Nothobranchius furzeri: one gene and its partner. The protein of the gene in region 2 purifies or fractionates together with the protein of the main gene of each other region. This does not show direct contact. Links are inferred from orthologs where the notes say so. Each region holds a gene or a part of one and is shown on either strand. Other genes may lie near its edges. The genes, in order: fxr1 and cep63.

The links.
Region 1: the proteins of cep63 (region 2) and fxr1 purify together in Homo sapiens (co-immunoprecipitation; 3 studies listed by BioGRID and IntAct, with this or other methods). This does not show direct contact. The link is inferred for Nothobranchius furzeri from reciprocal best matches to the Homo sapiens genes CEP63 and FXR1.

What each region holds. Positions count from the first base shown.
Region 1 is NC_091748.1:72,983,329-72,987,145, reverse strand, and holds part of fxr1 (RNA-binding protein FXR1), read left to right. Parts: intron 1-12; coding exon 13-219; intron 220-382; coding exon 383-451; intron 452-921; coding exon 922-1,004; intron 1,005-2,464; coding exon 2,465-2,623; 3' UTR 2,624-3,817. UniProt on the Homo sapiens protein: mRNA-binding protein that acts as a regulator of mRNAs translation and/or stability, and which is required for various processes, such as neurogenesis, muscle development and spermatogenesis.
Region 2 is NC_091756.1:60,714,822-60,719,241, forward strand, and holds the start of cep63 (centrosomal protein of 63 kDa), read left to right. Parts: upstream 1-1,568; 5' UTR 1,569-1,721; coding exon 1,722-1,762; intron 1,763-1,862; coding exon 1,863-2,040; intron 2,041-3,600; coding exon 3,601-3,696; intron 3,697-3,775; coding exon 3,776-3,865; intron 3,866-3,934; coding exon 3,935-4,039; intron 4,040-4,150; coding exon 4,151-4,324; intron 4,325-4,420. Other genes in the region: im:7152348 (tripartite motif-containing protein 3), read right to left, coding at 1-120. UniProt on the Homo sapiens protein: Required for normal spindle assembly.

The DNA of each region.
Region 1 (3,817 bases), on a different chromosome or scaffold from region 2:
ATAATTCTGCAGCGCCTCGGGACCATGACAACTACCAACCCTATGGAACCTTGGAGGCAAACACTGAGACGGACCAGACAGCTGACACCGATGCCAGCGAGTCCAACCTGCCAGCAAACCGCCGCCGAAGGTCACGGCGTCGCAGAACAGATGAAGATGCCACTCTGATGGATGGCATGAGCGAGTCTGACAACGCCTCGCTGAGTGAAAATGGCTTAGGTATGGAGGATGGATGAGTCGTCTTTGAATGTAATCAGAGTGGCATTGCTAGGTGTTGTCATCAGAGCAGCATTTTGACAGTAGGAGAAGCTTCTGCAGTTTACGGTAGCGTTTAATGTTGAAGACACCAATCATTCTGCTTTTGAAAACCTAAAACTCCTAGATGTAAAACCTCAGCGCCGCAACCGTAGCCGGCGTCGCCGCGCCCACCTGCCAGAGGAGAGGCAGCCAGGTAACCAATGGCAACCGCTGGTGTGTGTTCTCCAGGCTGCAGCTTTAGTGGCATCAAACAGAACACTGCATACTGAGCTGCAGGTGCAGAATTAACTGGCATGAGCGTTGTTGGCGGTTTTGGAAAACTAAGAGGTTTCTTCTTGTCCAACAGCATCTAACAGTTGTGCTTCTATTAAAATGCGAGATTTGAACCACTGCTTTTCCAGCCTGAACTTGTTTTACTCTAAACTCACTATCTGCGTTGCGATTCTGCCGTAGCAAAAGTTACATTTTTAAGTTAACTTAAAATACTTAATCAGTCCTCGCTGATGTTTGTGTCCGGTGTTCCCGACTCTGCAAGCTTCACTAATGTCTGTGCGTTGTAATTTGCACAAATGGAAGTCCTACTGATGTTGTGAAAACTGGGGCGGATGTGGCATAAGTTCTCTGCCCCGGTGCCTTACCAGAGGTGTTGTGGTGTTTGTGCAGTGACCGTGGCTGACTACATATCCAGGGCTGAATCTCAGAGCAGGCAGACAAACACCAAGGACACAAAGAAACCCAAGGATGTGGTCAGTACCGCCATGCTGCATGTGACTGCCGACAGATGTCCGTTAGTTTCTATAAAGTGGTAATTCTGGTAAAGTGAGCATCTCTGGTGTTCGACTGAGAATCTCTTATTTTAGAAGCAAGAAACTGTCTTATAGAGCTGAATGATCACCTGTTTTCTGGTCGACAATTCGATTTCAGACAAACATAATCGGCCAATGCCAGAGCTGAAGGAGCAAAGCTTCGGCTCCTTTTAAGCCGGGCGCACACCGTGCGACTTTTTCACTTTTTTGAGCCGATTTTCCACTCGTGCGAGAATCCACGACATCGGGGCGAGTTTTGCGCTGAGCGTCGTGTAGTGTACAGGGGGTTACGAGAGGCGATTAACACCACGTGACCAGCTACCGATCAGCAATCGTGAGCTCGCACGGACTTCTGGCGTGTTTGATATTTTGCTCGTCCCTCGTGAGGGTATCGCACTGTTGAAGCAGCGCTGCGACCCAAAAAGTACCAGAACCGCTCACGGCGCATGCGCAATCCTGCATCAACACCGCTCGCCCGCTATTTCCCTAATAACACACGCTGTTCGTTTTTATTTCTAAACATTTTTTTACACACAATGACAAATATTGTCAATAAAGCGTGTTTGTCGTGTTCATGTCAAATTAAACTGATAACAAAACACAGATTTACTTTATTTTGTTTTCCTCATCCAACCCCCATAAATCCCCGTGTGTCCTCCTGCAGGACTCCCGAAGGACAACAGGCAAAACAAGACAAAAAAGTCTGACGTGTTGAGTAAAAACTGCTTTTTTTAGCATATTTTTAGGGCCGACGTGTTGCTACCAGACGTACAGTGTGAGCAGTCAGGTCGCATCCGAGAACTGGGTCGTACAGCGTGAGCACATGACTCGTGAGATCTGCCCTGCGAGGAAGTCGTACAGTGTGAGCTGAAGATGAGTGCTACGAGTGAAAAAGTCGCACAGTGTCCGCCCAGCTTTAGTTGTTTTTTTTTTCCTGTAGCGCTGCGCAGGCCCATGTTTTTTATATCTGGGTTCCTGAAGCAGCAGAAGGGGATTTATCGTGGTAAGACTGCAGCCGTGGAAGCTCAAGTTCTCTTCTTTCAAAACCTGTTTGAACGTTTCTGATGACACAAGCCTTTGCAGAGTTAGGGTAACTCAAAGCTAGCCTGTAAAATGCGTCGGCGTTGGTTGTAACGGCTGCTTTTGAGTGAAGAATCATTCAGGCGGCCCTGAAGAACATCCAGTTACCTTCAGATTTCATCCTTAGTGTTAGCTTTAATGCTTTGACGGTGTGATGTCGCGTTCGGCCATGTTTGTGAGTGATTATGTACTTAGTGAATTTTGTGCTGAAGCTTGATTTGAAGAAAGTCGTAACTCAAATGAAACTTTCTATCAGAAAAATGGCAGTGCGGTCATTTCCTAAACGCACTTTAGCTGAAAACTTCCTTTCATCTATCCAGGGTCAGGTGGAGGCTATTGCTGAGCACAGTCCGCAGTCTGCTCCGCCAACCACCAACGGCTCGAGCAACGGCGCCACCAAGTCTCCCCCTGAGAAGCCCGCCAAAGCCTCTCACACGGAGGACTCGAACCCGGAACCTGTCGTTAACGGACTCTCCTAGTTAGACCGGAGCAAAGAAAACGGTTTCAAATATTTGGACTCCTTTGGGGATACTTGGTTGCGTCTCCATGGCGAGGCGTCAAAGTTTACTAAACATTTAAACACAACAAGCACTGTCCTTTTTATTACTTAACAAATATTTGAAACCTGTTCTGCAGCACAAGACCGTAACCTCTCATTTACACCTTTATCTGTTCAACTGTTCATTTTACTAGTTAGTTTTCTTTCTCAGTAGTTCTTCCAGTACGAGCTTGCCAAAGATAGTCAGACACATGTTTAGGGACACACACACACACACACACACACACACACACACCTCTTTAGCTTGCTCTTCACCGAGAGCTCCGATGGAGGTTTGGCTGAAAGCAGTGTTTATACAACGCAGACAGGAATTCCTCTCAAATCCATTCTGTGGTGTGAATGCAGCAGTTTGTTTTTTTAATTCTGGCAAAGTTTTACAACGATGCCTGTTTTTTTGTCGCGTGGCAACATATTTTTTATTTTAGTTTTGTCTTCTCCAGGATGCTTTTTCCATCCGAGGTAGTTTGAAAAGTGAACATCTGCATGAGCCTTACCACGCTGCAGATAGGTTTGTCGCAAACTCAAGTAGAATTGATTCACGTGTGATCAGCTGTTGTGCCTTGAGAGTAGATTCAACATGTTGCTGCCTGGCTCTGCGCTCCACCTGAAATCCTTCCACATCTCTCCGCGTGACCCGGTTTCCCTCACCTGCCACAGACGAGGCGTCTCCGCTAGAGGCCGGTGAGGGCGAACCCTCAAAACGCCCTCAAAGGATTTCAGAGCCATCTCTCTAAAATCAGGTGTCTGCTCTTAATGTTGTGGGGGTGGGGTGGGGTGGGGGGGTCCCGTTATCCTTTATATATTTATCTGTTGAGGAGTTTGACATTAGCTGCTTCCTGTTCTTTAATATGCAACCACTCTGATCATAGGACAAATGTTATTACAGCATATCTGAGACGAGACGAGACGTTTTGTTTGCACTGAAGCGTAACCGACTTCTGTTGAAGCTGATTGTAGTTGAGTGAGAAAACTGGCTCGCAGCGGTTAAACGCTGCACCGATATGTAGCCACCAGGTTTCCTGGAAACATCAGGCAGTTTGATCAAGTTTCACAAGGATACTGAGACTTCAGAAACCCAATAAAATCAAAATAAAACCCGTCAAGAGCGCCTTTG
Region 2 (4,420 bases):
CATGGTGTCCAGGCACGGGTCACAGAAAGTGTGCCTGCAGTGAAGCACTCGTGGGATCTTGTCCATGCGGGAATATGGCAAGAGGCAGACGCTGCACTCTCCATCGTCGCACAAAACCATCGTCAAGCTGGTAGACCCCAGAAGATCACAAAAAAAAGAGTCCTCTGAGATGATCCGAGTGAGTTCCGATCTAAAAGTCTGTCGATAGGAAAGATGTCAGAGCTGATGTCAAAGTTCCAACGCTGTCTGTCTTTCAATCAAATATCTTCAGTATTAGAAACCGTTTTAAAAGGGAAGAATTTGTTTAGAACCAAATTCTATGTTCATTTCAAATACCATCAAAATGAATCACTTAAATCCTAAAGTTGGATGCTGTTGGTTTTTTTATAAGCTTGAGTGAAACACAAAACAGCCATGGTCAGATAATAGTTTGTAATAAAACAGATTACTTACAGGTGATGTGTGTATCTGCGGTGTTTTCTTTTAGGTTTGTGCAGCTCGGTGTCTGTGCTGTGAATGATGTCAGAGAGCAGCTTGCCTGCCTCCTGCTAGAGCGTCTGTTGCGTTGGTGGGGGCGAAACAGCCAAAAGCCCTCCCATGAACAGCTGGGGATGCAGAGCGGAGGAAACGCTCTTTGTTTAGTTTGAATGAAGGCAGGTGGAGAGATGGGTGAGGAAGGGGGAGTGGTAAAGGAGGGGTTGATGAACGTTCCAAAGTAGGTGATGTGTTTTGCTTTTTCCTTAACCATAACACATCCTGATAAAATGTTTCTCAAAAGACATATAAAGAAAACTTAGCACATCTGGGAATTGAACCCGGAGTCTCTCGCATTCAATATGAGAATCATACCCCTCTACCAACAAAATGCTGATGTGTTAAAGGAACATATGTATATTGTAGGTAATAAATGTTTCATGTTTTCTTGACATTTGTGCTGTTGAAGCATCGGTTCACGATGACACCTTGCTCGCGGGATTGCGGTAAAAACGGAAAAGCTATCATGATATCCCTCTTCCCTAGCCATGGCCAAGCAGATAATTTATACAACACTCACGCAGCGACACAGCGACCAATATGTTCGGACAGCAGACCGCCGAATTTTCAAATCACATTCTAAATGACCATGCTAAAAATTATGGGCTCGTCCGGGATTTGAACCCGGGACCTCTCGCACCCGAAGCGAGAATCATACCCCTAGACCAACGAGCCACGTGTCCGGGAAAGACACATAAAATAATTTAAAGTTAATTTAAAGTGATATGTAGTTTTTCTGTAAATGTACTGTTTTAAAAGTATTATTGTATTTTTACACACTATAATAGAATGTCTAATTTCATGGAATTTCAGACGTACCTTCACGTTACACGACATCTGAATCTTAAGCCGTGAGATTAATGTGTTTGTTTTTTCTTTAATTTTCCCTCCCAAACCTTATTTTTAAAGTCGAAGACCAAATAATAAATTACATTTTTTAAAATGTTGCCTACGTAAAACGTAATGAGGTCACAGTTAGAAGGCGGATGTACCGCCTTGGAACCGGAAATTCTTTGTAAAGAAAAGCAGTTGAACGCCGAATAGTGTTGTTGACGTAGCGATGTCATCAAACTTGTTTATACTCTACAACGTGCCGGTCTTAGCTTGTAAGGACAATCTGGATAGAGTCCACCGTGTTGTAGCACCTTAGCGCGCAGAGGGGACAGACGGCGCCATTTTTGAACGAGATGGAGGTTTCTTTGGAATCAATACAGAATCCTGATATAAGGTAACAGACGTTTGGTTTGTCGTGAGGCTAAGTCAGCCATCTTTAGATGCGTGTTTACACAAATGAAGTTGATAACACGCTTTAATCTTCTGCTACGCAGCTCTGTCCTGTCCTCATGCGAGCCTGAGCTGCAGGAGCTGATGAGACAGATTGACATTATGATCAATCATCAGAAGAGGGAGTGGGAGGCTGAGCTCCACGCTCTGCAGCTCAGGGTCACCAGTGGAGAAGAAGAGCTTTTAACCTCCAAGACTACCATTGAACGGAGGGATCTGGAGGTGAAGTGACGATTCATCCTTTTTTGCTCAAAAGAATCACAAAAGTAATTTAATCAACACAGAAGCTTGTAATAAAAAAGCAAGCATGCCCTTATTTTGACATGCAGCATTTTGAAGGTAACATTTTTCCATCCCATTTCCAATTCCAAACATGGACTCTCCTGCTAAAACAGTTTTTATGGCCACTGTCTCCATTTCTGGCCTCACCTAATGTTGGAGACTTACTAAATTATTCCTTAAATGATCAGAAAGCCTCTGCTATGAAGATTCGTTGTACTCTCAAAACAAAACCTCCTGCAGATTCAATTAAATGTTTCAAAAATAAATGTAAATGTGTGAGGATGTTGGTTTTAGGACATGTTTTAAACCGTAAGGAAGGAGACAGTAAATAGTTGTGGCATGAAGCATTTTATCTCTATTCCCATAATAACACCATCACCTATTCAATCAATCAATCAAACTTTATTTCAGACAAGGGATATGTCCATAACAAGAATAAAAAAAATAAAAAATAAATAAAAAAATAAAATACAAACACATTCTAATTACAAACCATATAGGCAGTTGCTCCAATGTTTAAAAAGGACTGAGGAGTACCTCGTGTCACTGTAAGATAAAGATGACAGAGCTCTAACAACCGCGTTAGCTGACAAACTCAGTCGGCAGATGAATTTGTACATGAAGAGCCTCAGAAGCGCATGAAAAGTTGGGATGTTACTCGTAACAAACATGTGACTTGCCGAAGTCCATCTAGGGAGCTTCATGAGGATTCTAAAAGCATCCTGATAAGCCACTTGAAGCTTCTTCATTACTACCTTACTATAGTTGCACCACAAGTGGGCGGTATAGAGAGGAGTACAAAAGGAACGAAAGAGGGACACTTTTACAGGATCTGAGCACATGCCAAAGTTACGTGCCAGAGTGTTAGCCTGCATGTACAGCTTACCACACTGCCTCTTAATGTCCTCGTCATCACAGAGGTCACTTCTTAAAATGTGCCCCAAATATTTTACTTTGCTTACCACTTCCAGGACCTGATTTGTTAAGTTAAAAGATGGAAAATTAAGCTTCAGGTCCCCTTTAGTAGCAGCAATCATAACCACACTCTTTTTAGGGTTAAACAGGATGTCAAATTGCTCACCATACTTAGCACATGCCCTGAGCAGCTGCTGCAGGCCTGCGCTATAGGGAGACATGAGGACTAGGTCATCTGCATATATTAAATGATTTACCAGTCGGTCACCCACCAAGCATCCAGTCTTACTAGCATTCAGAGTAACAGACAACTCGTCAAGGTACAGGTTAAAAAGGACAGGTGACAGAATCCCGCCTTGTCTGACTCCATTTGATACGGAGAAAGGTTCAGACACTTCTGTCCCCCACTTTACCTGCATCAGTTGATGAGAGTACCAGAAGTGCAAAATCCTAACTAGGTAAGAAGGGACCCCTCTGTTTTGTAGCTTGATGAATAATTTCTGATGATTGACTCTGTCAAAGGCCTTAGAGGCATCTAAAAAACACATAAAAACAGAAGTATTATGCCTCATGTATTTGTTGCAGATTGGACTTCTTCACAAGCAGCTTGAAGCCGTTCAGACGGATCGGCAAGAGTTGGTATCCAAGTACGAACAACAACTAAAGAGACTCCGTGAAGAGGTGTGATCATCTGTTTTTCCTCAAATGCACTCAGCTATATCGCTTGTATCATGTTTATTGTTAACATCGTTTCTTATAGTTGGACAAGTTGAAGAGAAGTTACCAGAAGCTTCATCGCAAACAGCTTAAGGAGACAAGTGGAGGTGGAAAGGAGACTGAGCTTGCAAAGGTGAACTAATAGATTTTCCTGGCATTTCCATCTCCTGGAATTTGATTAATCGTTCTTACATTGGTGCAGAAGCATCAGCAGCGCTCTGAGCAGCAGCGAACTCGGTACCAAAACCAGCTGACCACACTGGAGCTCCAGAATAAAAGCCTGAACCAGGAGCTTGCTCACTTAAAGGTTAAAAAGCACATTTATGACTTTCACTCAGGAAGCCAGACATATTTAGTGTATAAAAGTGTGGAAGACTGCTGCATTGTTGTTGCATTTCAGTAATATTTGTTTTTCCAGAGCCAATGGGCATCGGGGCGGGTGGAGAGGGAACACAAGGAGTGCTGTTCAGAGGTGCAGCATCTGCGTGCACAGCTGGAGAAGGCTCAGGCCAGCCTGCACTCACAGGAACTGGAACTGGATCGCCTCAGACCGCTGGAGGTGCTGTTGGGACAGTCCCAGAGAGAGCAGCAGGTTAGCAGGGCGACAGGAACATGTGAGATGTGTGGCTTCTCAGCTGGATACCAAACATCTTCCATCAGATTCCAGGTGTTTGTAACAACTCTGGAG